Linked DNA regions of Anolis sagrei. The protein of the gene in region 2 interacts with the protein of the main gene of each other region in a biochemical or structural test. Links are inferred from orthologs where the notes say so. Each region holds a gene or a part of one and is shown on either strand. Other genes may lie near its edges. The genes, in order: PTPN1, BCAR1 and PTPN12.

Region 1 (10,655 bases), on a different chromosome or scaffold from region 2:
TGGATTCAAAGGAGCTGTAGTTGCGCAAGGCCTTTATCCTTTTTGGCCAAAGGATAGGAGTTTGCTGGTGCCTCATGAAAATTACAACTCACACAATTTCATAGCATGGAGCCAGGGCAGTTCCAAGTGGTGTCAAACTGCATTAAATCTACTGCGGATGCCTCTTATAATTGGTAGGGAAAATAATAATAATAATAATAATAATAATAATAATAATAATAATCTTAAGATAATAAGAAACAACTGGAAAAGCTGACACTATATGAGGATTTAAAGATCAAACTGCAAAGACTCTGGCACAAACCAGTCAAGGTGGTCCCAGTGGTTACAGTGCCTAAAGACCTTGGCCTGTACTTAAACACAATCGACACTGACAAAATTACCATCTGCCAGCTGCAGAAGGCCACCTTCCTGGGATCTGCATGCATTATTCTCTGATACATCATACAGTCCTAGACACTTGGGAAGTGTCCAACATGTGATCCAATACAACAGCCAGCAGAGTGATCTTGTCTGCTATGGATTCATCTTGTTATGTTTCAAATAATAATAATAAACTTTATTTATATTCCACCACCTCTCCACAAGGACTCAGGGAGGTTCACAACAGAATCAAAACACAATATATATATGTAAGCAAAATAAATCTAAAATACCTTGTAAAACTACAAAGTCTATGATTCCATAGTATTGAACCATGGCAGTTAAAAAACTGCTAGAAATAACATGAAAAAATATTTTTATTTTCAGAGATATTGCCAAGAATGCAATGCATGACCTTTGGCAGTAAAAAAAAAACATGAAAAATACGATTTTCAGAGATACTGCAGTGAAAAAAAACCATGGAAAATATTGTGAATTTCAGAGATATTGCAGTGAAAAAACGTGAAAAATATTATAAATTTCAGAGATATTGCGGTGAAAAAACATGAAAAATATTATGAATTTCAGAGATATTGCAGTGAAAAAATACATGAAAAATATTATGAATTTCAGAGATATTGCCAAGAATGAAGTGCATGCCCTTTTCCAAGGGAAGGTAAAAAGAAGAGTCCCACCACACTTTCATGCATGGAGGAAACCATGAAAATGAACAAAATCTGGCTACCAGTATTTTAAAAAAATCTCTAAAAATAGGACAGTAAATAAAGAACAACACTCTGAAAACTGGGGAATTCCAGACAAGAAACAATCAGGGCCAGCTAATCACATCCCAACAAAGGATTTCCCTAGCCAGGATGCAGCCAGGCCTTGAAGCTGCAAGGCTTTTCAATGCTAACCAAAGGTGATTAATTGCAACATTCACGGACAATAATTCTTTTTCCCACTCTGGACCTTCCACAGACATATGGAAACTAAATATATTCTAGGTTCCAATATATCTCCCAACCTCTGAGGATGCCTGGCCATAGATGTGGCCGAAACGTCAGGAGAGAATGCTTCTCGAACATGGCCATACCACCCAGAAAACTCACAACCACCCAAATAAAAGACCTTGTAAAACTAAGAAGTTTATGATTACATAGCATTGAACTATGGCAGTTGAAAGACTGCTAGAAATAACATGAAAAAATATTATTATTTTCAGAGATATGGCCAAGAATGCAGTGCATGTGCCATCTTCCATTTATCTATCTAAATAAAAATGTTATGTTCGTTTGTGGGATTAACGTAACTCAAAAACCACTGAACGAAATGATACCAAATTTGGACACAATACACGCATCAGGCCAACGAGTGACCATCACTCATAAAAACACTGAAAAGCACAAAGAAAAGAGACTTAAAAGTAAAAATAAATAAATAAAAAATATGTTACAACGCATGTGCAAATCGACATATATAAATGCAAACACGCATATATACACATATACACAGATATATACACACAAAAAACACATATACACAGACTGGGCCACAGCAGCGTGTGGTAGGGGACGGCTAGTCTATATAAATAAAAAACTAATGTTTGTTTGTGGGACTAATTTAACATAACTCAAAAGCCACTGGGCGAATCGACACCAAATTTGGACACAATACACGTATCAGGCCAACAAGTGACCATCACTCATAAAACACTGAAAAACACAGCGGAAGAGACTTAAAAAGCCAAAAATAAAAAATATATTACAATACATGTGCAAAACCACATATATACGCAAACACACTCGTATATATACACATATACACAAATATATACACACATATACACACAAAACATGTATACACAGGCTGGCCACAGCAACCCGTGGCAGGGGACAGCTAGTTACATATATAAACACAAACACACATATATGCACATATATATATTTATTTATTTATCATATTTATATACCGCCTCTCTCAGCCCAAAGGCAACTTGAGGTGGTTTACATTCGACAGTCAATGCCTCCAAACAACATTAAATACAGTTAAAAACATTACATATAATATAAACCGTATAAAAGCAATAAAAGCCATAAAGTCCTCAGCGTCTCATCACTAAAATCATTTTTCTGTTGCATCGTCCAATCGTTCGGTGGATCTCAATTAGTCTGTTACACTGTGTCTGCAAATGCCTGCTCAAACAGCAGCTCTTTTGAAATGTTAGGAGGGAGGGGGGCGATCTACTATCCCTAGGGAGGCCATTCCATAGTCGAGGGGCCACCGCTGAGAAGGCCCTGTCTCTCCCTGCCAATTGCATCTGCGAAGGGGACGGGACCGAGAGCAGGGCCTCTCCAGACGATCTTAAGCACCTAGATGGTTCATAGGGAGATATGTATAAACATACACACAAAACACATATACACAGACAGGGCCACAGCAATGTAGCCGAGGGGCCACCGCTGAGAAGGCCCTGTCTCTCGTTCCTGCCAATCGCATCTGCGAAGGGGGCGGGACTGAGAGCAGGGCCTCTCCAGATGATCTTAAGTGCTTCATAGGGGGAGATACATAAACACACACACAAAACACACATACACAGACTGGGCCACAGCGACGTGTGGCAAGGGGCGGCTAGTGGGAAGATAAAATGAAGAGTCCCATCACACGACTCTCTTTCGAAGTGTTATATCCCTAGGGAGGGCGTTCCATAGCCGAGGGGCCACCGCTGAGAAGGCCCTGTCTCTCGTTCCCGCCAATCGTATCTGCAAAGGGGGCGGGACTGAGAGCCTCTCCAGACAATCTTAAAGTGCCTAGATCAGTGGTTCTCAACCTTCCTAATGCCGCGACCCCTTAGTACAGGTCCTCATGTTGTGGTGACCCCCAACCATAATGTTATTTTTGTTGCTACTTCACAACTGTAATTTTGCTACTGTTGTGATTCATAATCTAAATATCTGATATGCAGGATGTATTTTCAGTCACTGGAACAAATTTGGCACAAATACCCAATATGCCCAAATTTGAGTACTGGTGAGGTTGGGGGTGATTGATTTTGTCATTTGGTAATGCTGGAGTTGCTGGGATTTATAGTTCACCTAAAATCAAAGAGCCTTCTGAACTCCACCAATGATGGAATTGAATCAAACTTGGCACACAGAATTCCCAAGACCAAGAGAAAATACTGGGAAGGTCTGGTGGACATTGACTTTGAGTTTTTTGGAGTTGTAGTTCACCTACTTGTAGAGAACACTGTGGACTCAAGCAATGATGGATCTGGATCAAACTTGGCACAAATACTCAATATGCCCAAATGTGAACACTGGTAGAGTTTGGAGAAAATAGACCTTGTCGTTTGGGAGTTGTAATTGTTGGGATTTATAGTTCACCCACAATGAAATAGCATTCTGAACCCCACCAACGATAGAATTGGACCAAACTTTCCACACTGAACCCCCATGACCAACAGAAAATACTATGTTTTCTGATGGTCTTTGGTGACCCCTCTGACACCCCCTCACGACCCCCATGGGGGTCCCAACCCCCAGGTTGAGAAACACTGGCCTAGATGGTTCTTAGGGAGAGATACACAAATACACACACAAAACATATATACACAGTCTGGGTCACAGGGGATGGCTAGTGCAAAGATACACACTTTCACACAATCCCTTATCAGCAGCTATGTCAATGCAAGCACCCCATAAACCAGGTATGGGCAAACTTGGGCCCTCCAGGTGTTTTGGACTTCAACTCCCACAATTCCTAACAGCCTACCGGCTGTTAAGAATTGTGGGAGTTGAAGTCCAAAACACCTGGAGGGCCCAAGTTTGCCCATAGCTGCCATAAACCAAGGGCAGGATGAGTGGGGGCTTGCATCTACTGGGTTTGCACTTGCACACACTGGAGTGGATGGGGAAAGTGGGTCCTGGGGGTGAGAAATGGGGAGGAGACCCATTTCCAAGGCCAGGAAAGCCAGGGCAAGAAGGCGAGAGGGAAAGGAAGGGAAGGGCCGAGCTTTGTCCAGCTTGAGAAGGCGGGGAAAGGGTGAGACAATGGGGTCCAGTCCCCTTTTACCTGGTAGATGGCGGCCCAGCTGTCTGCCTCGTCCATCCGGTGGAACTCCTTCTCGATCTCCATGCTGTTGGGGGGCCAGGCCTGGCCGGCCCCCTTCTTCTTCTTCTCTGCTCCTGCCTCTTCTCGTTCGGACCCTGGTTTTTCCTTCTCCTCCTCCTCCTCTTCTTCTTCCTCCTCCTCCTCTTCTTCCAGCCTCGGCTCTGCCTGCCTGCTCTGCATGGAGAGGCGCCTCCTCTTCCTCCTCCTCCTCCTTCTTCTTCTCCTCCTCGGCTCCGCTTCCCTTCTTCCTTCCCTTCCTTTCCTTCCTTCCTTCCTTCTCTGGCTTTTCCCAGCCCACGGGAAACGACGCACGCGGCTCGGAGGAGGAGGAAGGGGAGGAGAGAAGCCCGGCCTCCCGGAGAGAGAAGCAGCAAGAGGAGGGTTTAAGAGAAGGCTGGGCTTCTTTGGGAGGAAGGGAACAGGGAGGGCCAAGAGCCACTGACGCCACGCAGCCGCAAAGCCAAGGCGTCAAGAGCGCCTCTGGGCATGTGCAGACTGCCCACTCTCAGCCCACAATACTCTACAAGAGGCATGAGCAAGCTTCAGCCCTCGAGGTGTTTTGGACTTCAACTTCCACAATTCCTAACAGCCTACCGGTCAGTATGATCCTACAGCAGGCATGGGCAAGCTTGAGCCCTCCAGGTGTTTTGGACTTCAACTCCCACAATTCCTAACAGCCTACCGGATCATACTGACAATGTGTTGCCCCGGAATAGCAACATTGTCTAGCCCTTTCCTTAGACCTGAAAATGAAGAAAGTGCTGTATACAAAATTGCCTTCCTTCATAATCATATGACATTATTGTAAAAACTCAGCAAAGAGTACAGATACTAAACAAGAACGTTAAACAAGCCACGAGAGTAAAGACAAAGGGTCCTTCCACACAGCCCTATATCCCAGAATATCTGCTTTGAACTAAGGGTCTGTCCACACAGCCCTATATTCCAGAATATCAAGGCAGACAATCTGTGCTGGTACAGCTGTACCAGGAGCTTCAATTCTGTTTGCTTTGCATTAAATGTTTGTTTGCAATCCCAGGCTTGGGCTTTTGCAGCAGGGTGGCTTCCTGTTATAGTTTGCAATCATAAGGCAAGCCACCTGTCAGTTATAGTTAGGTTCCCTGGTCCCACTCCTTTTTGAGTTTTGGAGGGAATAGTAGCCTTTTTGAGTCAGTTCTCACAAAGAAGCCTTTCGCACAGGACATAAAACGAAGAGCTCCTGTAGAAAGCTTCATCTTCTACGGCTTAGCCGGGGAGATATATAGCCTACAGCCTGACTGGAGTTATACAGCCTTACAGCTCCTCTGCTGAGGGACTTCAGCCAGCCATCACAGCAACCTGGACTCCTTCTTTTCCCCTGGAAGTCTACAAAGCTCTGTCTGGTAAGGGTATCTCGCGGAAGCCAGAAGCAGTTGGTACCGGGTGTAGAGGCTCTATGCCAACAGAGGCAAGTACAGACTGCCCAGATTAGAAGTTAAGGATTTCCCCATTAGTTAATTACAGTTAAGAAGATAGTGCCTGTTCCCTGTGGACAAGATTGAGAGAGAGCCAATAGACTGTTAAGAAAGCTTTAAAGTACCTGTTTGTTTTCATCAATAAAGAACTTTGTTGAACCTTTAAGCAATCTAAAGACTTTGTTTTGGGGAGGCCTTTAATCTGAGGCAGACCCGGCGTCCCGTTGGGCACACAGAATTTATGTCCTGTCTACAGTCTTATGCACAGGCCCAGTGTGCGATAGCACAGTGAGTACCTTAAAAACAAAAGAACTAATGAACAAAATTTGGCAGCAAAAGGTCTCACAACACAAGGAGTGACCATCACTCAAAAAATTATGATTTTGTCATTTGGGAGTTGTAGTTGCTGGGATTTATAGTTCACCTACAATCAAAGAGCATTCTGAACTCCATCAACAATGGAATTGAACCAAACTTGGTACATAGAACTCCCATGGCCAACAGAAAATATTAGAAGGGTTTGGTGGGCATTGACCTTGAGTTTGGAAGTTGTAGTTCACCTATATCCAGAGAGCACTGTGGACACAAACAATGATGGATGGACTAAACTTGACACAAGCACTCAATACGCCCAAATATGAACACAGATGGAATTTAGGGAAAATAGACCTTGACATTTGGGAGTTGTAGTCACTGGGATTCTCAGTTCACCTAAAATCAAAGAGCATTCTGAACCTCACGAATGACAGAATCGGGACAAACTTCCCACACAGAACCCCCATGACCAACAGAAAATACTTAAGGCCATCCAATCCAACTCCTTTCATCAGGGCAAGAAAACGTAATCAAAGTCCTCCTGACAAAGAGCCATCCAGCCATAGATATAGATAGATAGATATGATTGACACACAGATATAGTATCATAGATTTGAAAGAGACCCCTAAAGAAGGACAATGATATCTTGCATGTTCCAGGGTGGGCAAACCAGACATTCTCCACATCAACACTGACAAAGAAACAGCAAGAAATACTGTTTATCCACAAGCATAAAGAAATCACATATATTAGAAACCAACACTTTCTCATTACTTTATTTTCGAGATCAACAGACTGGGCTACAGCAATGCGTGGCAGGGGACAGGTAGTAATAATCAAGAATGTTAAACAAGCCACGAGAGTAAAGACAACAGGTCCTTCCACACAGCCCTATATCCTAGAATATCAAGGCAGAAAATCCCACAGTATTGGCTTTAAACTGGGTTATCTGAGTCCACACAGTCATATATTCCAGTTCAATGTGGCACAGCTGGCTGGGAGTCACTGCATTAAGATCACTACTGACCAAAGGGTCATGAGTCCAAAGCCAGCCCAGGTCGGAGTGAGTGTCTGACCAATTTGTGTAGCTTGCTGCCGATCTTTGCAGCCCGAAAGACAATTGCATCTGTCAAGTAGGAAATTTAGGTACCACCTACATGGGGAGGCTAATTTAACTAATTTACAATGCCATAAAAATCTCCAGCAAGCCTGTAAAGAATGAGGAAGTACTTTATCAGTGTCACAAATGGATGGTGAAGCAACAGCTCCCCTGGTGGCCAGAACACCCTCATGAAAAATTGGAATGTTAAATTGCCTCTGTGTCTGTCTATATATGTTGTGTGTCTATGGCATTGAATGTTTGCCATGTATATGTACATTGTAATCCGCCCTGAGTCCCCTGCGGGGTGAGAAGGGCGGAATATAAATACTGTAAATAAATAAATAAATAAATGTAGTCCCTATGTGGACTTGTCCACAGCTGCATGGTATAAACATTAGACTCCTGTCCTTTGCAGAACTTAGCATTTGTTGGATTTTCTTAGGGCACTTCCACACAGCCCTATATCCCAGAATATAGAGTATAGGTTGTGTTTCTTCATCAGCTTCCCTATGTGGTCAGTGGTTCCCTTGATGTATGGTAAGAACAGATAACCCAGTTCAAAGCAGATATTGTGGGCTTTTCTGCCTTGATATTTTGGGATTTAGGGCTGTGTGGAAGGGTCCTGGGTTATCTGAAGGCCTTTTAACATAGTCCTAGATCCCAGAATATCAAGGCAGAAAATCCCACATCATCTGAGTGTGGATTCAGATAACCCAGTTCAAAGTAGATATTGTGGGATTTTTTGCCTTGATATTCTGGGTTATAGGGCTGTGTGGAAGGGCCCAGAGATCCACCCAGGGGAAAAGTGTTCTTACTATAGCTCAAGGGAACCACTGACCGGATTTTCTGGTATTTCCTTTATGGTGCCATAAAATACCTCTCCGCTTAAAGCAGTGCCTAATTTCTCTACTCACAGCACACAGCTGTTTTTCAACTGTTTAGGTGGACAGTAAGCTGGGCTGAAGGTTGGGTGCTCACCCCGACCTGGGCTTCAAACTGCCAACCTTTCAATGGATAAGATCTATTGCAGCTGGTGATTAACCAGCTGTGCTAAAGCCTGTTGTTTTGAATCACACCCTCAGACTCAATGAGCCATGAAATTGACAAAAGAAGCACCAATGTATTGTCCCTGTGTACATTTGCACTGTACAATTAAAGCTGTTTAGCATAATTTTAAGTGTCCTGGCTCAATGCTATGGGATTATGGGGGCTGTCATTTCACAAAGTCTTTAGCTTTCCCTAGCAAAGAGTGCTGGTGCTTCCCCAAACCGCAACTCCTAGATTCCATTGTAATGAACTGTAACAGTTGAAGAGTCATAGTCCAACTCTAAGACCACCATAGTATGCTGATTCTTAAAACAAACAAACAAACAAACAGAGAGACAGACAAATAAATCTTCATTTATATTTCGCCCTATTTCCCCGAAGGGACTCAGGACGGATTCCAATCACAAAAAAAGGCAAACATTCAATGCCTGAACAGAACAAGTAATAGACACATAAGAACAAAAATTAAACTCCACTTACTACTGAAATTCCTGGAAATCATCAAAGACAAGGTGCTGAGGGAATTCACAAAACATTTTCCTGTGGCTTGTTCATTTTTAAAAAAAATCATTTGACTCTATAAGCTGCTAATCTTTGGTACAAAACACACACTTCTCCTGTCTTCCAAAGGAGATGATAAGATGTTGGCAGCCTGGGCCACAGAATGTCCCTGCACTTTATATTATTTTTCTATTCTTTAGGCAGTATCACCATTACAGTCCATAGTGATTTGCAAATGCAAAAGAAATTGAGTTATCCTTGCTTAAATTATAATCGCAACATATTGGAGTTATACCTTTATTGTCGGACACAGCGAATTATGGTCAACATTTTACAGGGAGGGGAGAGGTTCCTTTATTGGACTTCTAACTGCTATAATAGCAATCTTTTAAAAAGGATTGTTGGTTTTTGCTTTTTAGTTTCAGTTATCATATGGGAAAAGCAACAGAAAACAGCTGTAACAAGGAGTGCTTCTTCTCTGCCCATGCTCAAGAAGCTACAAAGTTAAACTTCACACGAATTTGGCAAACGTTGTTAGTTACTAGGGCATTACAAGCTTGAGAAATTAAGGAGGCTTCAGTTGGTATAAATATCTGTATTTGAGGAAATGTCCAAGGACAGTTGATAAGCGTTGAGAACTTGGCCTCAAAAAACATAAGGTTCAGGCACACATTAAGACAGGGGTGTAAAATTACCCATAGACTTAAAAGCTTTGCACGTATAAATAAAATTCCCTGGGTTGCGCTCAGTGAGCTTGAACACAGACTTCAAACCAGAATGGTTCTGTGTATGTGGCCCAGTGAATGGATCTCTCTTCTACCATACCAGTGCCCTCAACAACTAAATGAAGATCTTGAGACTTTCCTGCTCCTTTTTGTATATACCAACCATATGCCCTTTTCTGTGAAAGTTGGTAAGAAAGCTTTAAAGCTTACCCATGGGTGTGTGGTTATTCTTCTTGATGCTAAAAGAACCTCTTGCCTTTGGCAAACCAGTTGGTTGTAATGCGTTATAGTTAGTCTCCTAGTTACAAACATCAGACTCGGTTAAGAATGGGTCTGAGACAACCGGAAGTGAGAGAAATCCACCTCTTGGCAGGGAAATTCACTCCTGAAAGAGTTATCATGGGGAAAAGGTGTCTCCACTGAAGCTTTTTCACCAATCCTTGCTTCCACAACAAACCACATTTTTCAAAATTCAATTCCTACAGGGACAAAAAGTGAGGTGAAATCTTCTGAACAGGGGCACGGATTGCAAAACAAGCACCACAGGGGTGTTAACCTTTCATGTAGCTGGGGGGGGGGGGGCTTGGGGGGCTTCAGCCCCCCCCCCCTAATTCTCATGGTGGTCCGTGAAAAGGCCTTACCGGTGCATTATTTAAACTGTTATGTTTATTCATATCATGATCTGATCACCCTACTCAATATATCCCATATGCATGGAGGTATTGGGGTAACGATGCAAAAGGTTTGCTAGGGTAGACCCTCTTTCACTTGGACTCAGCCCCTCCCCCCACCCCGAATCGAAATCCTGGCTACGGGCCTGCACTATACTATTCAAAGCCTGCTGTTATGTAAGTGAAGCTACACTTAAAAGATGTACTTGGTAAAAACTTACATGCAATTTCAACTTAAGAACAAATCTACATAACCTATCTTGTTCGTAACTTTGGACTGCCTGTACTTTTCACTTCTGCTTCTTCTACAGATAAATGTTTCAATACTAGTATCATAACAATGCAGTGAGGTAGGTTCAGGGC
Region 2 (11,324 bases):
TGAACTATAAATCCTAGTGTTCCCATTTCGACATATTGAGTATTCATGTAGAGTTTGGTCCAGATGCATTATTGCTTGCGTCCACAGTGATCTCTGGATGTAGGTGAACTACAACTCCAAAGCCAAAGGACACTGCCCACCAAACCCTTCCCATATTTTCTGTTGGTCATGGGAGAACTGTGTACCATCGTTGGTGGGGTTCAGAATGTTCTTTGATTGTAGGTGAACTATAAATCCCAGCAACTACAACTCCCAAATGAGAAAATCAATTTTGTGAGTGAAGGACATACATTGGGTTGTTAGGTGTCTTTTGTCCAAATTTGGTGTCAATTCGTCCAGTGGTTTTTGAGCTATGTTAATCCCACAAACGAACATTACATTGGGTTGTTGTAGGTTTTTCTGGGATATGGCCATGTTCTGGAGGCAATTTTTCTCCTGACATTTCGCCTGCATCTATGGCAAGCATCCTCAGAGGTAATGAGGTCTGTTGGAAGTAGGAAAAATGGGTTTATATATCCTTGGAATGACCAGGGTGAGACAAAGGACTTTTGTTTGCTTTCATTTATATAGATGATGATTATTATTATATAACTCCCATTTTCCCAGTTTCCAACAAACCTCACAGCCATAGATGCAGGTGAAATGTCAGGAGAGAATGCTTCTGGAGCATGGCCATACAGCCCAGAAAACTCACAACAACCCAGTGATTCCAGCCACGAAAGCCTTCGACAATACAGGGATAGAACACATTCCCCCTAGAATCATAGAATCTTAGAGTTGGAAGAGACCTCCTGGGCCATCCAGTCCAACCCCATTCTGCCAAGAAGCAGGAATATTGCATTCAAAGCACCCTCAACAGATGGCCATCCAGCCTCTGTTTAAAAGCTTCCAAAGAAGGAGCCTCCACCACACTCCGGGGCAGAGAGTTCCACTGCTGAACGGCTCTCACAGTCAGGAAGTTCTTCCTCGTGTTCAGATGGAATCTCCTCTCTTGTAGTTTGAAGCCATTGTTCTGCGTCGTAGTCTCCAGCAAAAGGAATTAAGAGCGACAACTGTCCTTCCTTTGGGTGGCCAAATAATCCCATCTCCCTTCACTAAAGCATGATTTCATAGGCTTCTGGTAATTTGATCCTGCTGAGGATCAAAACCTCCAGTTCGCATTATGAAAAGGGGGTCTTCGAGGGGCTTTGGCACAGCTCGGCACGCAGACTGAAGTCTATCATAGTGCCTGCTCCCAACTTCTTTCTCTCCCTTCTTCTCAAAGGTGCCACGACAGCCTTTCGTATGGTGATATTCCAAACTAAGATAGTTATATCTTTGACATATCATTCTTTTCGTTCCTCCAAAAAGGCAAAGCGTGTTCCCAGTGACCCTTTCCTTTCCAGAGCGAAATGGGAGGGCTTTCCCAGAGCAGTCCGCCCTCATTTCCCCCCTCTTTTTTTCTCCCGGCTTGGTTCTTTTTTCCACCTTGGCTGATTTTGCCTTGCGAAGGGAGCTTTCCCAATGTCTTGGGGGCCTCAGGGTTTCGACACAGTGGGGCCTAGTTTGTTGTGATTCAATCTCAACTCGGTTGGAGTTTCCTCCTTGAGTCGAAGGGAGGGCCAAAGGGCTTGGGAAGCAAGTAACCCTTTGGCATAATTAAAAATGTAATGTTCAATGTATTGTCGAAGGCTTTCATGGCTGGAATACAGTTCAGAAAACTCACAACAACCCAGTGATTTTGGATTGTGAATGTTGTTGTTGGCCTCCTTGATTAGCACTCAAAAACAAGGGAATACCAGACAAGAAACCATCAGGGCCAGCAAATCACCTCCCAACAAAGGATTCCCCCCAAGCGGTAAGAAGCCAGACCTTGAAACTGCTAGGCCATTAAATGCCAATCAAGGTGGCCAATTGAAACATTCATAAGTACCTCAAACAGACAAGAGTTCTTTCTCCCACCTTGGACATTATTCCAAAAAACCTCACAACCTCCGAGAGATGCAGGCGAAACGTCAGGAGGGAATGCTTCTGGAACATGGCTAGACAGCCCAGAAAACACACAACAACCAGTGATTTGGGGTTGTGAATGTTGTTGCTGGCACTAGAACAACACTCAAAAACAGGGGAAATCCAGACAAGAAACCATCAGGGCCAGCTAATCACCTTCCAACAAAGGATTCCCCAAAGCGGTAAGAAGCCAAACCTTGAAACTGCTAGGCCATTGAATGCCAATCAAGGTGGCCAATTGAAACATTCGCATCTACCTCAAACAGACAAGAGTTCTTTCTCCCACCTTGGACATTATTCCAAAAAAACTCACAACCTCTGAGATATGCAGGCGAAACATCAGGAGAGAATGCTTCTGGAACATGGCTAGACAGCCCGGAAAACACACAACAACCCAGTGATTTTGGGTTGTGAATGTTGTTGGCACTAGAACAACACTCAAAAACAGGGGAATTCCAGACAAGAAACAATCAGGGCCAGCAAATCACCTCCCAACAAAGGATTCCCCAAAGCGGTAAGAAGCCAAACCTTGAAACTGCTAGGCCATTGAATGCCAATCAAAGTGGCCAATGGAAACATTCGCAACTACCTCAAACAGACAAGAGTTCTTTCTCCCACCTTGGACATTATTCCAAAAAACCTCACAACCTCCGAGGATGCCTGCCGAAACGTCAGGAGAGAGATGCAGGCGAAACGTCAGGAGAGAATGCTTCTGGAACATGGCTAGACAGCCCAGAAAACACACAACAACCAGTGATTTTGGGTTGTGAATGTTGTTGTTGGCACTAGAACAACACTCAAAAAACAGGGGAATTCCAGACAAGAAACCATCAGGGCCAGCTAATCACCTCCCAACAAAGGATTCCCCAAAGTGGTAAGAAGCCAAATCTTGAAACTGCTAGGCCATTGAATGCCAATCAAGGTGGCCAATGGAAACATTCGCAGCTACCTCAAAGAGACAAGAGTTCTTTCTCACACCTTGGACATTATTCCAAAAAAACTCACAACCTACGAGATATGCAGGCGAAACGTCAGGAGAGAATGCTTCTGGAAAATGGCCAGACAGCCCGGAAAACACACAACAACCCAGTGATTTTGGGTTGTGAATGTTGTTGTTGGCCTCCTTGATTAGCACTCAAAAACAAGGGAATACCAGACAAGAAACCATCAGGGCCAGCTAATCACCTCCCAACAAAGGATTCCCCAAAGCGGTTCGAAGCCAAACATCAGGAGAGAATGCTTCTGGAACATGGCCATACAGTTCGGAAAACTCACAACAACCCAGTGATTTTGGGTTCTGAATGTTATTGTTGGCCTCAAAAACAGGGGAATTCTGGACAAGAAACAATCAGGGCCAGCTAATCACCTCCCAACAAAGGATCCCCCAAAGCGGTAAGAAGCCAAACCTTGAAACCGCTAGGCCATTAAATGCCAATCAAGACAGCCAATTGAACCATTTGAGCCCCCAGTGGCGCAGTGGGTTAAACCCCTGTGCCGGCAGGACTGAAGACTGACAGGTCGCAGGTTCAAATCCGGGGAGAGGCGGATGAGCTCCCTCTACCAGCTCCAGCTCTTCATACGGGGACATGAGAGAAGCCTCCCACAAGGATGATAAAAACATCAAATCATCTGGACGCCCCCTGGGCAATGTCCTTGCAGACGGCCAATTCTCTCACACCAGAAGCAACTTGCAGTTTCTCAAATCGCTCCTGACACGGAAAAAAAACCTACCTCAAACAGACAAGAGTTCTTTCCCCCACCTTGGACATCATTCCACAGGTATATAAACCCCATTTTCCTAGTTTCCAACAGACTTCACAACGATAGATGCAGGCAAAACGTCAGGAGAGAATGCTTCTGGAACATGACCATACAGCCCAGAGAACTCACAGCAACCCGCTGTTCTATCCCTCTTTGCTTCCCATCTGTGTTTTTTGAAAATTCAGAATAATATGTATATATTAGGAAGGGATTAAGGTTGGTTAAAAGAATGAAGGGAAACAGAACCTCATTCTGGGAGAAAGGCCGGATATAAATCCAACAGACACACTAAGGAAATACATAAAAATGGGCGCCGGTTTCCATCCCGGGCCAAAGAAGTCCGACCTTGGCTTGAGGAAGGACGCAAAATCCCGAAAGCACACAAATGCACAAAAAACACACACAGAGAATACACACACACAGTCCCATCTTCCAAGGTCGAAGTGCCCAGAGCCTTGGCTTTCTCTTTTTTCTCCAAGGCATCTACATTGGGGAATAAATGCAGTTTAGTATCAGTTTAACCATGCTAAGGAATCTTGGGAGTTGTAGTTTGGCAAGACTCCAACAGAGAAGGCTCCAGACCTTCCCAAACTATACCTCCCTGGATTCTCTTCACCATTGAGCTGTGGCAGTTAACAGTAGTGTCACAAACTGCATTGAGGACAAAGTCAAACCTTTCCAATTTGGATCTGTCTTTCCTTTCTCTCAAAGATGGGGCCAACACTAGGGAGGGGGGGGGTAGAGAAGAGATTGAAGCCTAAAACGTTGGCTAGAGAAGAGATTGAAGCCCCCCCCCCCCCCCAAGAGAAGGACTAAGGGGCCAAACCCTTTCCTTCCTTGGAAAGCAGAGCCTTCCTCCTTGCCTACCCAAAGCGCATTCCGTGCGCCCTGGCCTCCATTTGGAGAGGTCCTGGGGGGACCCAAAAGGGAAGGCTCTCCCTCGCCAGCCCGGCGACCCAGCCCCACAAATGACCCACCGATGGATAGCTAAGAGCCCCCTCTTTCCCCCCACGTCGCCCTTTCCTCACCAGGTAGTTCATCTTCCCGGCCAGGCCGCGCGCAACGGAGGGGCGGCCGCAGTGACCGTGCGCCCTTAACGCATCGTCCCAGGCTCGGTTCTCTTCCTCCTCCTCTCCTCCTTCTCCGACGCCTAAGCCCGGCGAGTGATGTAAGCCAAAGGAGGGGAAAAAGAGAGCAGAGAAAGCAGGAGAGTTGCTGGCTAGGACGCCTCTTCCATTGGCTGCTCGGGAGAAAAGGAGGCGGCGCCGGGAGGCAGCGATGGGACGGCGGGGAGAGGCTGCCTCCGCCTGGCACCCGGCAGGGATGGCGGGCCAAGGAGGAAGAGGAGGGAGGGAAGGAGGAGGGCCAAGGGGAGGGCGCCTCTACGTTGCCCCCGCCTCCAACTCCTCTCTGCCTGCCTCTCCAGCAAGGGACAACGGGCAGGGATCCGCAAAGGTCGCCTAGTCTGACCCCCAGAGCAAGCAAGAGAATATCCCTGCTAAGTATGCACAGAGTATGATTGTCATTATCATTCACAGGGAACCAGAGGTTCCCAGAAGACATCACGGCTCTGTTTCACCATTGCCTCACCACCAGCTACTTTCAGTGGGACAATGAGTTCTATGAACAGAAAGATGGAGTAGCTCTGGGGAGCCCTCTCAGCCCGGTCATAGCTAATTTCTACATGGAACACTTTGAAGAACAAGCCCTGGAAACAGCAACCAAAAAGCCCACGATATGGTTCAGAGATGTGGATGACACCTTCACCATTTGGAGCCACAGAGAAGAAGAACTCAACAGGTTCCTGGACCATCTGAACAGCATCCACCCAAACATATGGTTCAGATATCTGGATGACACCTTCACCATTTGGAGCCATGGAGAAGAAGAACTCAACAGGTTCCTGGACCATCTGAACAGCATCCACCCAAACATATGGTTCAGATATCTGGATGACACCTTCACCATTTGGAGCCATGGAGAAGAAGAACTCAACAGGTTCCTGGACCATATTAACAGCATCCACCCAAACATATGGTTCAGATATGTGGATGGCACCTTCACCATTTGGAGCCATGGAGAAGAAGAACTCAACAGGTTCCTGGACCATCTTAACAGCATCCACCCTAACATCCAGTTCACTATGGAAAAAGAAAATGAAGGAAGACTGCCTTTTCTAGATGTCCTCGTCATCCGCAAACCAGATCAACAATTGGGTCACACCGTCTACAGAAAACCCACACACACAGATAGATATCTACATAAAAACTCCAACCATCACCCAAGTCAAAAAAGAAGCACCATTAAAGCCTTGGCAGACCGTGCAAAAAGGATCTGCGAAGCCCACCTCCTCCAAGATGAACTGAACCTCAACTGGGCTCTCCAGGCCAATGGAAACTCCACCTCAGACATCGGAAGAGCTGCAAGACAACCGAGAAGAAGCCACAAGAGTCAAGATGAAGATCCACCCAGAGGAAAAGTGTTCCTGCCAGACATCAAGGGAACCACTGATCGCAGAGGGAAGCTGATGAGGAAACACAACATACAAACTATCTACAAACCCACCAAGAAAATCCAACCAATGCTATGTTCAGCAAAGGACAAGAGGGATCCTCTCACTTCTGCAGGAGTCTACCGTATACCATGCAGCTGTGGACACGTCTACATAGGGACCACCAAACGCAGCATTGCCCAAACACGCATCAAGGAACATGAAAGGCACTGCAGACTACTTCAACCAGAGAAGTCAGCCATAGCAGAGCACCTGGTGAACCAGCCTGGACACAGCAGATTATTTGAGAACACAGAAATGCTGGACCACTCTCACAACCACCATGTCGGACTACACAGAGAAGCCATTGAAATCCACAAGCATGTGGACAATTTCAACAGAAAGGAGGAAACCATGAAAATGAATAAAATCTGGCTACCAGTATTAAAAAAACTCTAAAATTACAACAGCAAAACAGCAGAGAGTAAACAATCAGGCACATCAAATCACCTCTCAACAAAAGATTCCCCCAGGAACTTCCAAGCCATTAAATACTAATGAAGGTGATCAGTTGAAACATTCACACCTAGCTCCAGCACACAAGAGTCCTTTGTCCCACCCTGGTCATTCCACAGATATATAAACCCATTTTCCTAGTTCCAACAGACCTCACTACCTCTGAGGATGCTTGCGAAACGTCAGGAGAGAATGCCTCTAGACCATGGCCATATTGCCCGAAAAAAACCTACAACAACCCAGAGTGTTGGGTACTTTGTGTTGTAGGCCTGAGCATGCATTATATCATTGCTATTGTTGTCGTCATTTTTAACAGGATATCCCAGAGGGTTATGTAGTCTAATCCAGGAGCAGTGCAAGGCAGAGAGTTAGGTACTGTGTGTTGTAGTCCTGAAGATGCACAGTGTATCATTGCTATTGTTGTTGTTGTTCACCGGGATCTCCAAGTGTCATCTAGTCTAGTCCAGGAGCAGTGCAAGGACGCCTCTACGTTGCCTTCCCAGTAAGGGAGAATGGGCAGGGATCCCCAAAGGTCGCCTAGTCTATCCCCAGGGCAAGCAAGAGAGTATCCCTCCTAAGCATGCACAGAGTATGATTGTCATTATCATTCACAGGGATCTCCAAGGGGTATCCTGTCTAATCCAGGAGCAGTGCAAGGAAGAGAGTTGAGTACTGTGTGTTGTAGTCCTGAGCATGCATTATATCATTGTTGATGTTGTTGATGTTAATAGGGATCTCCAAGGGCTATCCAGTCTAATCCAGGAGCAGTGCAAGGAAGAGAGTTTGGTACTATGTGTTGTAGTCCTGAGCATGCATTATATCATTGTTGTTGTTAACAGGATATCCCAGAGGTTTATGTAGTGTTGAGATTAACTTCACAATTCAGCAGCAGATCAGTTGCACAACTTCAGCGCTTTCCAGTAGCTTCTTCCTGCACAGTATTTTCAGTCAACTGCTCCCACAACCTGCAGTCACTCTGGAACCTTTTACAGACACTTGAGCACATGCCTGGCCATTGTCAGTTTTACTATTGTCTTTCCCCCAGTCTAGATGACATTACAAACTTACCACAGCACACAGTTATATCTTGTCTTAGCAGACAGGTTCTTTTAATCAATTACATAGAGCCTTTGACGAACAACATCACAGCACAAGGAGAGATATACACTGTACATGACTTCCTTATATACAATTCTATACAATTACACATAGCAATCTCTGATTGGTTCCCAACTCATTAACTTAACTCAGACCCAGGATTACATCATTCACAATCACCTGGACTAGGCCAGAACACATTCCCCAAATGAAGTTCCCTTTATACAGTTAATGCATGACTCAGCATTTCCAATAGAAGCCCATTAGCAGTGCATGACTCAGCTATAATACATTACAATACATTGTAAAACCTGACATGTAGTCTAATCCAGGACCAGTGCAAGGCAGAGAGTTGGGTACTGTGTATTCTAGTCCTGAAAATGCACAGGGTATCATTGCTATTGTTGTTATTGTTCACAGAGATCTCCAAGAGCTATCCTGTCTAATCTAGGAGCAGTGCAAGGAAAAGGGTTGGGTGCTATGTGTTGCAGTCTTGAAGGTGCACAGTGTATCATTGCTGTTGTTGTTGTTCACAGGGATCTCCAAGGGTCATCTAGTCTAGTCCAGGAGCAGTGCAAGGACGCCTCTACGTTGCCTCCCCCTCCAACTCCCCTCTGCCTGCCTCTCCAGTAAGGGGGAATGGGCAGGGATCCCCAAAGGTCGCCTAGTCTGACCCTTAGGGCAAGCAAGAGAGAATCACTCCTAAGCATGCACAAAGTATGTTTGTTATTATCATTCACAGGAATCTCCAAGGGGTATCCAACTAATCCAGGAGCAGTGCAAGGAAGAGAGTTGGATACTGTGTGTTGTAGTCCTGAGCAGGCATTATATCATTGCAATTGTTGTTGTTGTTTGTTAACAGTGTTCTCCAATGGCTATCCAGTCTAATCCAGGAGCAGTGCAAGGAAGAGAGTTGGGTGCTATGTGTTGTAGTCCTGAGCATGCATTATATCATTGCTATTGTTGCTGTTGTACTCCTGAGAATACACAGAGTGCTGCTGCTCTTGTTGTTGGTACTAGGAACACCCAAAGGTCACCTAGTCTAACCCACTATCTCTAAAGCACTTTAAAACCATTTCAGATAAATGTTTTTGATGCGATTGTTTCTTTAAATGTTTATTTACCAATGGTTCAATAAATAAACAAAAGTAATTGTTTATTTAACTGTTGCTTTGATTGTATTCTGTTTTATAGTCAGCACAGTTGAACACCTCTGGGTGTTTCCCACATGGAAAGCTTTAAATAGCCTTAGGGCTCTGTTCCCATGCAGCTTAAACCAGGTCTGGTGATGGTTGATCACTGCTGTGACAAGTCATTTCAGTAGGCAAGATTCTCCTTCCCAGTTATGCAAGAACCAGTAGCAAGCAATGCATGCATGTATCCACACTGCAGAATGAATGCAAGTTGATACCACGTTGAGTGCCCTGGCTCCATGCTTTGGAATTTTGGAAGTTGTTGTTTCACATGGCTTTTCACCTTCTGTGCCAAAGAGGGCTGGTGCTTCTCCAAACTACAACTTCCAGGGGACTATGGGACTCTGGTGGGAGGGATAAGTGGGTATGTTTTCTATATCATGATTTCTATATTTCTATATTTCTCCCTGTGTGCCTGACCTTTTCCTGACCCTTTTGCCCAATTCCCCTTTACTGAAAAAATGTATAAAAATATAAGAAGCCACCCCGGTGACCCTGGAAAGGAGGAAATCCTCTCTGGATGTAGGTGAACTACAACTCCAAAACCAAAGGACAGTGCCCACCAAACCCTTCCAGTATTTTCTGTTGTTCATGGGAGTTCTGTGTGCCAAGTTTGGTTCAATTCCATCGTTGGTGGAGTTCAGAATGCTCTTTGATTGTAGGTGAACTATAAATCCCAGCAACTACAACTCCCAAATGACAAAATCAATTTTTTTGAGTGAAGGACATACATTGAGTTGTTAGGTGTCTTGTGTCCAAATTTGGTGTCAGTTCGTCCTGTGGTTTTTGAGTTCTGTTAATACTACAAACGAACATTATATTGTTATGTATATAGATTTAAGTCGTTGACGTGCTGGCTGATACCCAAACAGGGGATGAGCTGGAGATGTCTCTGCCTTGGTCCTTTCACTATTGGCTGCCACTTCCCGGCGGATGTCAGGTGGTGCAATACCGGCTAAGCAGTGTAATTTCTCCAGTGGTGTAGGGCGCAGACACCCTGTGATAATGCGGCATGTCTCATTAAGAGCCACATCCACTGCTTTAGCGTGGTGAGATGTGTTCCACACTGGGCATGCATACTCAGCAGCAGAGTAGCACAGCGCAAGGGCAGATGTCTTCACTGTATCTGGTTGTGATCCCCAGGTTGTGCCAGTTAGCTTTCGTATGATATTGTTTCTAGTGCCCACTTTTTGCTTGATGTTCAGGCAGTGCTTCTTGTAGGTCAGGGCACAGTCCAGAGTGACTCCCAGGTACTTGGGTGCGCTGCAATGCTCCAGTGGGATTCCTTCCCAGGTAATCCTCAGGGCTCGGGATGCTTCTCTGTTCTTAAGGTGAAAGGCACATGTCTGTGTTTTAGATGGATTAGGGATCAGTTAGTTTTCCCTGTAATAGGCAGTAAGAGCACCTAGAGCTTCGGAGAGCTTCTGTTCAACCATCTCAAAGCTCCCTGCTTGGGTGGTGATGGCACGATCATCAGCATAGATGAAACTCTCTGTCCCTTCTGGCAGTGGCTGGTCATTTGTGTAGATGTTGAACATGGATGGAGCAAGCACGCTCCCCTGAGGCCGGCTGTTCTTCTGTTTCCGCCATCTGCTTCTCTGGCCCTGGAACTCAACAAAAAAGCTCCTGTTTTGTAGCAGGTTTCCTATGAGACGGGTGAGATGGTAGTCCTTTGTGATCTACAGAGACACTCGCTGGAACACCTCAGCAAGCAAGAGTCCAAAAGTGGCAGGCTCAAACCCAGCACCTCAATCCATGGGTGATGCCAGATGAGAGACTCCCCCCTGGGCACACAGAAGACTGAGCGACTTGGTGGGCGCTGAACAGACTGCTCTCTGGCACCACGAGATGCAGAGCCAACCTTCAGAAATGTGGCTACAAAGTGGAATCCACGACATGCGAGTGTGGAGAAGAGCACACCACTGACCACCTGCTGCAATGCAACCTGAGCTTTGCCACATGCACCATGGAGGACCTTCTTGCGGCAACACCAGAGGCACTCCAAATGGCCAGATACTGGTCAAAGGACATTTAATCAGCTACCAAGTTTGCAAAATGTGTGTTTGTTTGTTTTGTTCTGTTAGAAATGTAGTACAATGTTCTGGTTGCAGATGACACGATAAATAAATGTATATAGATAGTTGGCATTTCTGTCTTTTTTCCCATCGTTGAGCATATAGGATCCTTGCCGCTGTTAATATGTACTGCGGTTTTGTCTCATGCTCCATTTTTATTTTGATAGTCCAACAATCCCCATAATCTAAGTTCCTGCTTGA
Region 3 (11,041 bases), on a different chromosome or scaffold from region 2:
AGATGCAAGCAAATATTCAAAAAGCAATACATGATTCGAAGCCTTGGAAAATGTGTATCAAATTAAGTGGAAATGAAGTACAGCACTTCAATCCGAGAGGATCTTGTGAGGCTTCGTCTCTTCTCCTGATCCTCTGTGATTCCTCTCAGGAACAATAGAAGCCTTTCAGCCAGAAGAGCCATTCCTCTTTCCCATGCCACCTCATCCGGGATCAGGAAACCACTTCCTAAAGTCCACTTCCTCTTCCACGCCTCAGACCTGACACATCTTTCAACAGCCCCTTGGTCTTTTGCAACATCCTGCAGCCGCCTCCTTGCATTTTGGGCAACCCTTCCATTTGACACTTGCATCAGAATGTGTCTTCCCAAGCCATCAAGGGATCAGATCTCGCATAGCAACATGGCCAAAGCCTTGCAGCCCAGCTGAACGAGATGAGCCGAGACAAAGATTAATATTTCCAATTAGTTTACTGAGGGCTTGTGGTTCCGTGGGAAGCAATCAGAACAATTGTTACAAAAACTCACATTGCTCTTAGGGGTCACCCACTACTCGCATATATAGCCATGTATTCATTAATGTACAAAGGCTGTTCCTGCAAGAACAGGAAGCTTTTGAATAAATACAATTTGAGACCGCATCTAAGGGCACAAACAAATGGCTTCAGGAGTGGCCCAGGGATAAACGTAAGGGGAATAATGATCATGAAATTAGAAGAGGTTGGCCTATCCTATCCCTCCCCTTTCGCCTTTCCTTCTCTCTCCTCCATTATCTCCTTCCGCTCCTCTACCTCTTCCTTCCCCTCTTTACTTCCTCCACCCCCCACCACCCCCAATTCACACAAATCTTTTTTTAATGTATGTATAAAAATTGTCTCTTTCCATAATAAAAAAATGATTAAAAAGAAAAAAATAGAAGAGGTTGTGGCAAGAGGACCCTAATTCCCATTCAAAGCAGGCTGAGGTGTATTATTATTATTATTATTATTATTATTATTATTATTATTATTTTACTGACAGAGAACCACAGTATGTCACAGCAAACAAGATCTATATGTGGGATTTCGTATCACAAGTCGAACACTTCCCAAGCGTCTAGGACTGTGTGATGTATTTTCGAATGATGCACGCAGATCCAAGTAAGGTGGCCTTTTGCAGTTGACAAATCGTGATTTTGTCAATGTTTATTTTTTCCAAATGCCAGTTGAGATCTTTTGGCACGGCACCCAGTGTGCCAATGACCACTGGGACCACCTGTACTGGTTTATGCCAGAGCCTTTGCAGTTTGATTTTATTATTATTACTAGCTGTACTCGCCAGGTGTTGCTGTGGTCAACCTTCCCTCCCTCTTTCTCTTCTTTTTTTCCTTCCTTCCCTTTTTTCCTTCCTTCCTTCTCTTCCTCTTCCATCCCCCTTTTTCTTTCCCTTCCTCTTTCTCCCCTTTCTTCCTTCTCTATCTATTCTTGGACTGCAACTTCCAGCAGTCCTCCTGATCTATCTATCTCTTTCCAATCTATCTATCTGGAGGATTGCTGAGAGTTGCAGTCCAAGAATAGGTAATTGGAAATCTGCAGGGATTAGGATGCTCTCAAAGAAATCCAAGAAGAAAGCTTGCAGCTTGGAAGCAATGCATTTGGATCCCCCCCCCCTCCTAAAGGGCTTGGTCTAGAGGATGCTGGGAGCTGTAGTCTGGAAGAGAGTGTGGATATGCTATTGTGTGTTTTGTTTGCCAGGTGGAGTCATTTTTGCGCATGCGCTGTAGCATCTTCTTGCTTTTTTGACTTTTAAAGTCTCTTCTGCTGTGTTTTTCAGTGTTTTTATGAGTGATGGTCACTCGTTGGCCTGATAGGTGTCTTGTGTCCAAATTTGGTGTCGATTCGTCCAATGGTTTTTGAGTTATATTAATCCCACAAACATACATTACATTTTTATTTATATAGATTACTAGCCATCCCTTGCCACGCATTGATGTGGCCCAGTCTGTGTATATGTGTGTGTATATATATGTGTGTATATGTATGTGTTTGTGTATATATGTGGTTTTGCACATGCATTGTAATGTATTTTTTATTTTTTTGGCTTTATAAGTCCCTTCTGTTGTGTTTTTCAGTGCTTTTATGAGTGATGGTCACTCATTAGGTTGTTAGGTGTATTGTGTCCGAATTTTGTATCAATTCGCTCAGTGGTTTTTGAGTTATGTTAATCCCACAAATGAACATTACATTTTTATTTATGTACTAGCCATGCCCTGCCACACGTTGCTGTGGCCCAGTCTGTGTATATATGTGTGTGTGTGTATATATGTGTATATGTGTGTGTTTGTGTATATATGTGGTTTTGCACATGCATTGTAATGTATTTTTTACTTTTTGGCTTTTTAAAGTCTATTCCACTGTGCGTTTCTGTGTTTTTATGAGTGATGGTCACTCATTGGGTTGTTAGGTGTATTGCGTCCGAATTTGGTATCAATTCGTTCAGTGGTTTTTGAGTTATGTTAATCCCACAAACGAACATTACATTTTTATTTATATACTAGCCATCCCCTGCCACATGTTGCTGTGGTCCAATCTGTGTATATGTGGCTGGATGGCCATCTGTCAGGGGTGATTTGAATGCAATATTCCTGCTTCATGGCAGGGGGTTGGACTGGACGGCCCATGAGGTCTCTTCCAACTCTTTAATTCTATGATTCTATGTGTGTGTGTATATATGTGTGTGTATATATATATGTGTGTGTTTGTGTATATATGTGGTTTTGCACATGCGTTGTAATGTATTTTTTATTTTTTGGCTTTTTAAAGTCTATTCCACTGTGTTTTTCAGTGTTTTTATGGGTGATGGTCACTCATTGGGTTGTTAGGTGTATTGTCTCTAAATTTGGTGTCAATTGGTCCAGTGGTTTTTGAGTTATGTTAATCCCACAAACGAACATTACATTTTTATTTATATAAGATGATGATGATTATTATTATTACACTTTTATTTATATAAGATGATGATGATTATTATTATTATTATTATAGTGGCAGGGTATAAATAAATATTATTATTATTATGGTAGCAGGGTATAAATAAATATTATTATTAGTATTACTATTAAAAAAATTATATAAGATGATGACGATGATGATTATTATTATTATGGTAGCAGGGTATAAATAAAGATTAGTATTATTATTACATTTTTATTTATATAAGATGATGATGAAGATTATGGTAGCAGGGTATAAATAAAGATTATTATTATTAGTATTATTATTACATTTTTATTTATATAAGATAGTGGTGATGATGATGATGATGATGATTATTATTATTATGGTAGCAGGGTATAAATAAAGATTATTATTAGTAGTAGTATTACATTTTTATTTATATAAGATGATGATGATGATGATGATGATTATTATTATTATTATGGTGGCAGGGTATAAATAAAGATTCTTATTAGTAGTAGTATTATTAGTATTATTACATTTTTATTTATATAAGATGATGATAATGATGATGATGATGATGATTATTATTATTATTATTATGGTGGCAGGGTATAAATAAAGATTATTATTAGTAGTAGTAGTATTAGTATTATTACATTTTTATTTATATAAGATGATGATGATGATGGCAGCAGGGTATAAATACAGATTATTATTAGTAGTAGTAAAGGGGCCCTGATAGACCCCAACTGCAGGGGAAGGTGATCCCCGATTTCCACACACATCCTTCCTTGGTACCTGGTAACAAAACCAGAAAGGAAGAAATCCCTCTGGGCTGCTCCCTTCTTAAGGTAGAGGCGTGCCTTCAAAAAAAAAGGGGGGGGGGACTTCTGGAGGAGGGGAGAAAGAAGCAAAGAGCCAGAATATGTGTCTATCTTTTGCACAAGGCTTCCTAGCAAAGGCACACACCCACAGGAAAAGGCTGCGAGGAAAGGGAAGAGGATGCAGCAGCTTCCTTTCAGAGATGGAGAAGGGGGAAAGAAAGGGGGAGGGGGAGGCACCCAGGAAGGGCCTCGAGCCTCCCTCCCCACCCTCCCCCCCCCCCGCAGGCCTTCTCCCCCTGGGCGCCCCCTTCCCCTCACAGCAGGCTTACCATGAAGTCTGTGGCGAAGTTGTCCTCCCCATTGTGGTCGGTGTCCTTCATGGCCCGGACGCGCTGGATGAATTTCCTCAGGATCTCCTCTTGCTCCATCCTCCCTCCTGGCCTCTCTGGGCGGAAGAGACCCGGCTTTCTCCTTCTCCTCCGCCTCGCCCTGGCCTCCCTCCCTTCCTCCTCCTCCTCCCTCCCTCAGCACAACTTCCCGGCCAGGGCTCGGCTCCGCTCCATCCCCTCCCTCACGCGAAGCGACGCGGCTATTTCCTCCGCTCCCCCCTTTCCTCTCCGCCTCACACACTCTCTCACGCCTTTTCCTCCCGCGCAGGCGCAGTGCCGTCCGCGCGCTCCCGCCTTCTTCCTCCCTATGCGGCCCGGCGATTGGATGCCCCGCCCCGAAGGTCGCTGCCATTGGCCCAGCGGCTCGCCCGTCCCGCCCTCTTCCTCCTCCCCCTCCCTTTCCTACCTCTGGAGAAACTTCCTTCTTCTTCTTCTTCTTCCCCACCCCTAAATTGTTCCCCCTTCTTCCGAAGGGATCTTCCAGTGTTTGTTGAGCAGGAGGCTGGGATGTACCAATGAGATTTAAGGGGGGGGGGGGGAGGTGGTAGAGATAGGAAAGGAGGAAGGGGGGGGGAGTAGAGAAAAACAGAGGCTGAGTCTCTCTAGGTTAGAGGCGACTTCCAACGGGGACCACTAGCCCAGTGGTTCTCAGCCTGGGATCCCCAGATGTTTTGGGCCTACAACTCCCAGAAATCCTAGCCAATTTTCCAGCTGTTAGGATTTCTGGGAGTTGAAGGCTACCCCTCTATTCCGCTTTGGTTAGACCAGACCTGGAGTATTGTGTCCAATTCTAGGCACCACAATTCAAGAGAGATATTGACAAGCTGGAATGTGTCCAGAGGAGGGCGACTAAAATGATCAAGCCCTATGAGGAGCGGCTTAAGGAGCTGGGCATGTTTAGCCTGAAGAAGAGAAGGCTGAGAGGAGATATGATAGCCATGTATAAATATGTGAGAGGAAGCCACAGGGAGGAGGGAGCAAGTTTGTTTTCTGCTTCCTTGGAGACTAGGATGCGGAACAATGGCTTCAAACTACAAGAGAGGAGATTCCATCTGAACATGAGGAAGAACTTCCTGACTGTGAGAGCCGTTCAGCAGTGGAACTCTCTGCCCCGGAGTGCGGTGGAGGCTCCTTCTTTGGAAGGTTTTAAACAGAGGCTGGATGGCCATCTGTCAGGGGTGATTTGAATGCGATATTCCTGCTTCTTGGCAGGGGTTGGACTGGATGGCTCTTCCAACTCTTTGATTCTATGCTGTGTCCAGGTTGGTTCATCAGGTGGTCTGCTATGGCTGACTTCTTGATTGAAAATAGTGGTTGAAATAGTTTGCAGTGCCTTTCATTTTCCTTGATCCCACTTATGACATTCTTTCACATATTTATGCACGACTATCATGTCTCCTCTCAACTTTCTCTTCTGCAAGCTAAACATATGAAACCCTTTAAGACACTCCTCATAGGTATTCATGGTCTCAAGACCTTTGATCGTTTTAGTTGCCCTTCTCTTGACACCTTCCAGTTTCTCCATATCTCTTTTGAACTGTGGTGTCCAGAATTGGGCACAGTATTGCCGGCGAGGTCTAACTAAAACAGAATAGAGAGGTACCATGGAACATGAAAGGCACTGCAGACTACTTCAGCCAGAGAAATCAGCCATAGCAGAACACCTGATGAACCAACCTGGACACAGCATATTATATGAGAACACAGAAATGCTGGACCACTCTCACAACCACCATGTCAGACTACACAGAGAAGCCATTGAAATACACAAACGTGGACAATTTCAACAGAAAGGAGGAAACCATGAAAATGAACAAAATCTGGCTACCAGTATTAAAAAAAACTCTAAAATTACAACAGCACAACAACAGAGAGGAAACAAACAAGGACATCTAATCACCTCTCAACAAAAGTTTGCTCTAGACACTGTCAGGCCATTATATGCCAATCAAGGTGGTCAGTTGAAACATTCACACCTAGCTCCAGCAGACAAGAGTCCTTTGTCCCACCCTGAAAACCTTCGACAACAGAGGCTGAGTCTTTCTGGGTTAGAGGCGACCTCCAACGGGGACCACTAGCACAGTGGTTCTCAGCCTGGGATCCCCAGATGTTTTGGGCCTACAACTCCCAGAAATCCTAGCCAATTTACCAGCTGTTAGGACTTCTGGGAGTTGAAGGCTACCCCTCTATTCCGCTTTGGTTAGACCACACCTGGAATATTGTGTCCAATTCTGGGCACCACAATTCAAGAGAGATATTAACAAGCTGGAATGTGTCCAGAGGAGGGCGACTAAAATGATCAAGGGTCTGGAGAACAAGCCCTATGAGGAGCGGCTTAAGGAGCTGGGCATGTTTAGCCTGAAGAAGAGAAGGCTGTATAAATATGTGAGATGAAGCCACAGGGAGGAGGGAGCAAGCTTGTTTTCTGCTTCCCTGGAGACTAGGACACGAAACAGTGGCTTCAAACTACAAGAAAGGAGATTCCATCTGAACGTGAGGAAGAACTGTGAGAGCTGTTCAGCAGTGGAACTCTCTGCCCCGGAGTGTGGTGGAGGCTCCTTCTTTGGAAGCTTTTAAACAGATGCTGGATGGCCATCTGTCAGGGGTGATTTGCATGCAATATTCCTGCTTCTTGGCAGGGGGTTGGACTGAATGGCCCATGAGGTCTCTTCCAACTCTTTGATTCTATGATTCTAAGGGCAAAAACATCTGGGAACCACTGCATTAGCCAAACTGAAAGGGGACAATGTATTGTCGAAGGCTTTCATGGCTGGAATCACTGGGATATTGTAGGTTTTTCGGGCTATATAATAATAATAATCTCAAATGTAGACTCTGCAAGGAAGCAGATTTTATTTATCGTGTCAGGGGCAGACCAGTTGCATTGCATTCTTTAACAAAACAAAGAAACAAACAAAACACAAAGTTTGCGAGCTGAGTAGTTGATTAAATGTCCTTTGACCAGTACCTGGCCACTTGGAGTGCCTCTGGTGTTGCCGCAAGGAGGTCCTCCATCGTGCATGTGGCAGGGCTCAGGTTGCATTGCAGCAGGTGGTCAGTGGTTTGCTCTTCTCCGCTCTCGCATGTCGTGGATTCCACTTTGTAGACCCATTTCTTAAGGTTGGCTCTGCATCTCGTGGTGCCAGAGCGCAGTCTGTTCAGCGCCTTCCAAGTCGCCCAGTCCTCTGTGTGCCCAGGGGGGAGTCTCTCATTTGGTATCAGCCATTGATTGAGGTTCTGGGTTTGAGCCTGCCACTTTTGGACTCTCACTTGCTGAAGTGTTCCAGCGAGTGTCTCTGTAGATCTTAGAAAACTATTTCTTGATTTAAGTCGTTGACGTGCTGGCTGATATCCAAACGGGATGACAGTCTACGAGTGCATTCTCACACTCAGTGGTGCTTTTAAGTTATAGACACGACTACAACAAAGAAAAAGTGCTACTATCGGTATATTATGTCTCTAGACTTTCTGCAACGTACAGTTCAATTTCACATTTTTTTTAAAATTTAGACTATAGCAGCTTTAAATTACATCCACAGAGTTGCCTCCCAACTTGCAGTTATACTGGGCATCTGCTATGGTATGCAACCCTGCTGACCTTTTGTACCAGGCAGTTTATAAGTTTGAAACATAAAGTTTATTTCTCTCTTGCTCTTCAGGAAGCAGGCAATTGAAGCCAAACACAATAAGCAATGTTAGTAAGGCACAAGTAAGTACACTGCATTTGTACTAATCTGTACTAATAAAGGGAACATGAGGGTCAATGTTCTGTCAAAGTCTGGAAACACACACATATTGCTTTGCAAATAAAACTTGGTTCACACCAGTATAGTGATGACTTGCCTAGGTTTCCGTATTAGAGGTACAATATTACAGGTAACATTTTCATAGCTCCTTCCATTATTTTCAGTAGATCTCTTTCCACAAGTCTGTTCACATTATTTTGGCAGCATAGAGAAAGCAGGCGTTACTTTTACAAATATGAACCAAATTTTGTCACATTTACTTCCTTATGTCTTTCTTCCAAATGTATGTACTTAATATCAGATTGCATGATTTGGATCTGAAAAGTTAACAGGTAATATAAGGAGCTTGCATCACAACTTTACTCTGATTCTAATAGTAACATCAACACACTCCTAATAATAATAATAATAATAATAATAATAATAATAATCCTCCCATCTCCCGAAAGGGAGCCCCCGGTGGTGCAGTGGGTTAAAGCACTGAGCTGCTGAGCTTGTTGATTGAAAGGTCACAGGTTCAATTCCGGGGAGCGGCGTGAGCTTCCGCTGTCAGCCCTACCTTCTGCCAACCTAGCAGTTCAAAAATATGCAAATGTGAGTAGATCAATAGGTACCGCTCCAGCGGGAAGGTAACGGCGCTCCATGCAGTCATGACCTTGGAGGTGTCTACGGACAACACCGGCTCTTCGGCTTAGAAATGGAGATGAGCACCACACCCCAGAGTCAGACATGACTGGACTTAATGTCAGGGGACTACCTTTACCTTTTTACCATCTCCCGAAGGACTCGGTGCGGCTTACAAGAGGCCGAGCCTAAATACATCAGTAAAAAGCAACAACAATAATACAGACAATAAACTAACTCATAAACAAACCAATAAACAGTAACAATAACACAACAACGCATTAAAAACCTATGGCAGGGTCAAATGTAATAATTAATCTTTTTTTAAAAATGCTGGGCGTGACAAGGTGACATATAACTAGGATAGGTATTTGGAGAGAGATGGAGCGAGCAGACAATCCTAGATCATTAGTAAAGTGCGATTAGGGGCATGTTGCTTAGGGTTTCCTTATTCTGGGAAGGCACACTGGAACAACGTTTTCAGGCTCCTCTTGAAGACTGCCAGAGTTGGGCCAGCCTAATGTCCTTGGGGAGCGAGTTCCAGAGTCAAGGGGCCACCACCGAGAAGGCTCTATCCCTCGTCCCCATCAATTGCGCTTGCGATGGAGGTGGGATCGTGAGTAGAGCCTCTCCAGATGAACAAAGAGGTGTGGGTTCGTACACAGAGATGCGGTCACGCAGATAGGCGGGTCCCAAACCGTTTAGGGCTTTGTAGGTAAGAACCTGCACCTTGAATTGGGACCGGAAAATGAACGGCAGCCAATTGAGCTCCTTAAACAGGAGGGTTGACCTCTCCCTATAAGGAGCATCAGGGTAGCCCCACGTAGAGTGCATTACAGTAATCCAATCTGGAGGTGACTAAGGCATTGATCACCCTAGCCAGATCTGCCTTCACGAGGTATGGTCGCAGTTGGCGCACAAGTCTTAGTTGTGCAAAGGCCTTCCCGGCCACCACTGACGCCTTAGCTTCAAGCCTAAGTGATGAGTCCAGGAGGACACCCAAACTGCGGACCTCGGACCTGTGACCTGCAACCCCGTCCAACACAGGTTGCCACCCTATACCCCGATCTGGTTTACGATTGACCAAGAGGACCTCTGTCGGGATTAATCTTCAGCTTATAAACGGCAAACATTCAATACCTGGATATAACATTAAAAAACTTTGTTATAAGGACATATGCATCCTTGCGTATGCATGGACAACAGAGTATACAATCAACATTAGTCTGCCCCTTTATTTAAGGGACAGTAAGTGTTTATGTTAAAAGGTTATCTATCACAGTCCTTCCCAAAGAAAAAGAAAACCAAGAAGGCAAGTTGGCTGCCTGCTGAGACACTGGAAGTAGCCCAAGAAAGAAAGAAAGCAAAAGGAAACAGTGATGGGGGGGGGGGGGATATGCCCAATTAAATGCACAATTCCAGAGGTTAGCCAGGAGAGATAAGGAACTATTTTTAAACAAGCAATGCATGGAAGTGAAAGAAGACAACAGAATAGGAAGGACAAGAGACCTCTTCCAGAAAACTAGAAACATTGGAGGTAAATTTCAGTAAAAAATGGGCGTGCTAAAAAACAAAGATGGCAAGGCCTAACAGAAGCTGAAGAGATCAAGAGAAGGTGGCGAAATTATACAGAAAATCTGTATAGGAACGATAATAATATTGAGGATAGTTTTGATGGCGTGGTGAGTGAATTAGAACCAGAAATCCTGAGGAGTGAGGTTGAATGGGCCTTAAGAAGCATTGCTAACAACAAGGCAGCAGGAGACGACGGGATCCCAGCTGAACTATTTAACACTTTGAAAGATGATGCTGTCAAGATGATGCATGCCATACGCCAGCAAATATGGAAAACACAAGAATGGCCAAGTAACTATATGAATTGCAGAAATAATCTCTTATGAAAACTTGGCCATACAAAAATCTGGTCAACATTTTGTCAACATTTAATTAAAGACTACATTATTGTGTATCACTGGAAGTTTTTAACATTGCAATATTTTATTTCAGTCATGGTAGTCACACTCAACACAATTAAATATTTATCCAGATTTATCTAAATACAATACCTGAGCTGCGCTGCGCTACAATATCTGTTTGAGAAGTGGAAGGAAATACACCCCAAAGAAGCTGAGCAACATGGTGATGATGCAAAATTATTTTGAATATAAACAGGAAATGGAACCAGGATGCAAAGTGGACAGCTACTCTGTCCAGAAATTCAATAAAAAATAAAAAGGTTGACTGAAAAGTTGGAACATATTACTTCTCTGTGGATAGTTTTAAAAAATAGCATATTTTTGTTTTGAAATTTAAGATGCCAAAACAATTAAAAGAAACACGACTGCTGGACTAAACCAAATTAGAAAATGTTGACCATTTCCACTACCTTGGCAGCCACCTCTCCACTGAGCTCTGCGAGTGCAGTATTTCTCCAAATGAAGCAGAGAGTGTTTGAGGACCGGGACCAAGGTGCTTGTTTATAAAGCCATTGTCCTGCCAACCCTGCTATACGCCTGCGAAACA

Evidence for each region.
Region 1: the proteins of BCAR1 (region 2) and PTPN1 form a complex in vitro, tested with the Homo sapiens proteins (3 studies listed by BioGRID and IntAct, with this or other methods). The link is inferred for Anolis sagrei from reciprocal best matches to the Homo sapiens genes BCAR1 and PTPN1.
Region 3: the proteins of BCAR1 (region 2) and PTPN12 form a complex in vitro, tested with the Homo sapiens proteins (3 studies listed by BioGRID and IntAct, with this or other methods). The link is inferred for Anolis sagrei from reciprocal best matches to the Homo sapiens genes BCAR1 and PTPN12.

Annotation. Positions count from the first base shown.
Region 1 is NC_090024.1:222,416,356-222,427,010, reverse strand, and holds the start of PTPN1 (tyrosine-protein phosphatase non-receptor type 1), read right to left. Parts: upstream 4,842-10,655; 5' UTR 4,657-4,841; coding exon 4,438-4,656; intron 1-4,437. UniProt on the Homo sapiens protein: Tyrosine-protein phosphatase which acts as a regulator of endoplasmic reticulum unfolded protein response. Mediates dephosphorylation of EIF2AK3/PERK; inactivating the protein kinase activity of EIF2AK3/PERK.
Region 2 is NC_090028.1:4,788,739-4,800,062, forward strand, and holds the start of BCAR1 (breast cancer anti-estrogen resistance protein 1), read right to left. Parts: upstream 5,088-11,324; 5' UTR 4,791-5,087; coding exon 4,779-4,790; intron 1-4,778. UniProt on the Homo sapiens protein: Docking protein which plays a central coordinating role for tyrosine kinase-based signaling related to cell adhesion. Implicated in induction of cell migration and cell branching. Involved in the BCAR3-mediated inhibition of TGFB signaling.
Region 3 is NC_090025.1:85,806,618-85,817,658, reverse strand, and holds the start of PTPN12 (tyrosine-protein phosphatase non-receptor type 12), read right to left. Parts: upstream 4,416-11,041; 5' UTR 4,188-4,415; coding exon 4,089-4,187; intron 1-4,088. UniProt on the Homo sapiens protein: Dephosphorylates a range of proteins, and thereby regulates cellular signaling cascades. Dephosphorylates cellular tyrosine kinases, such as ERBB2 and PTK2B/PYK2, and thereby regulates signaling via ERBB2 and PTK2B/PYK2.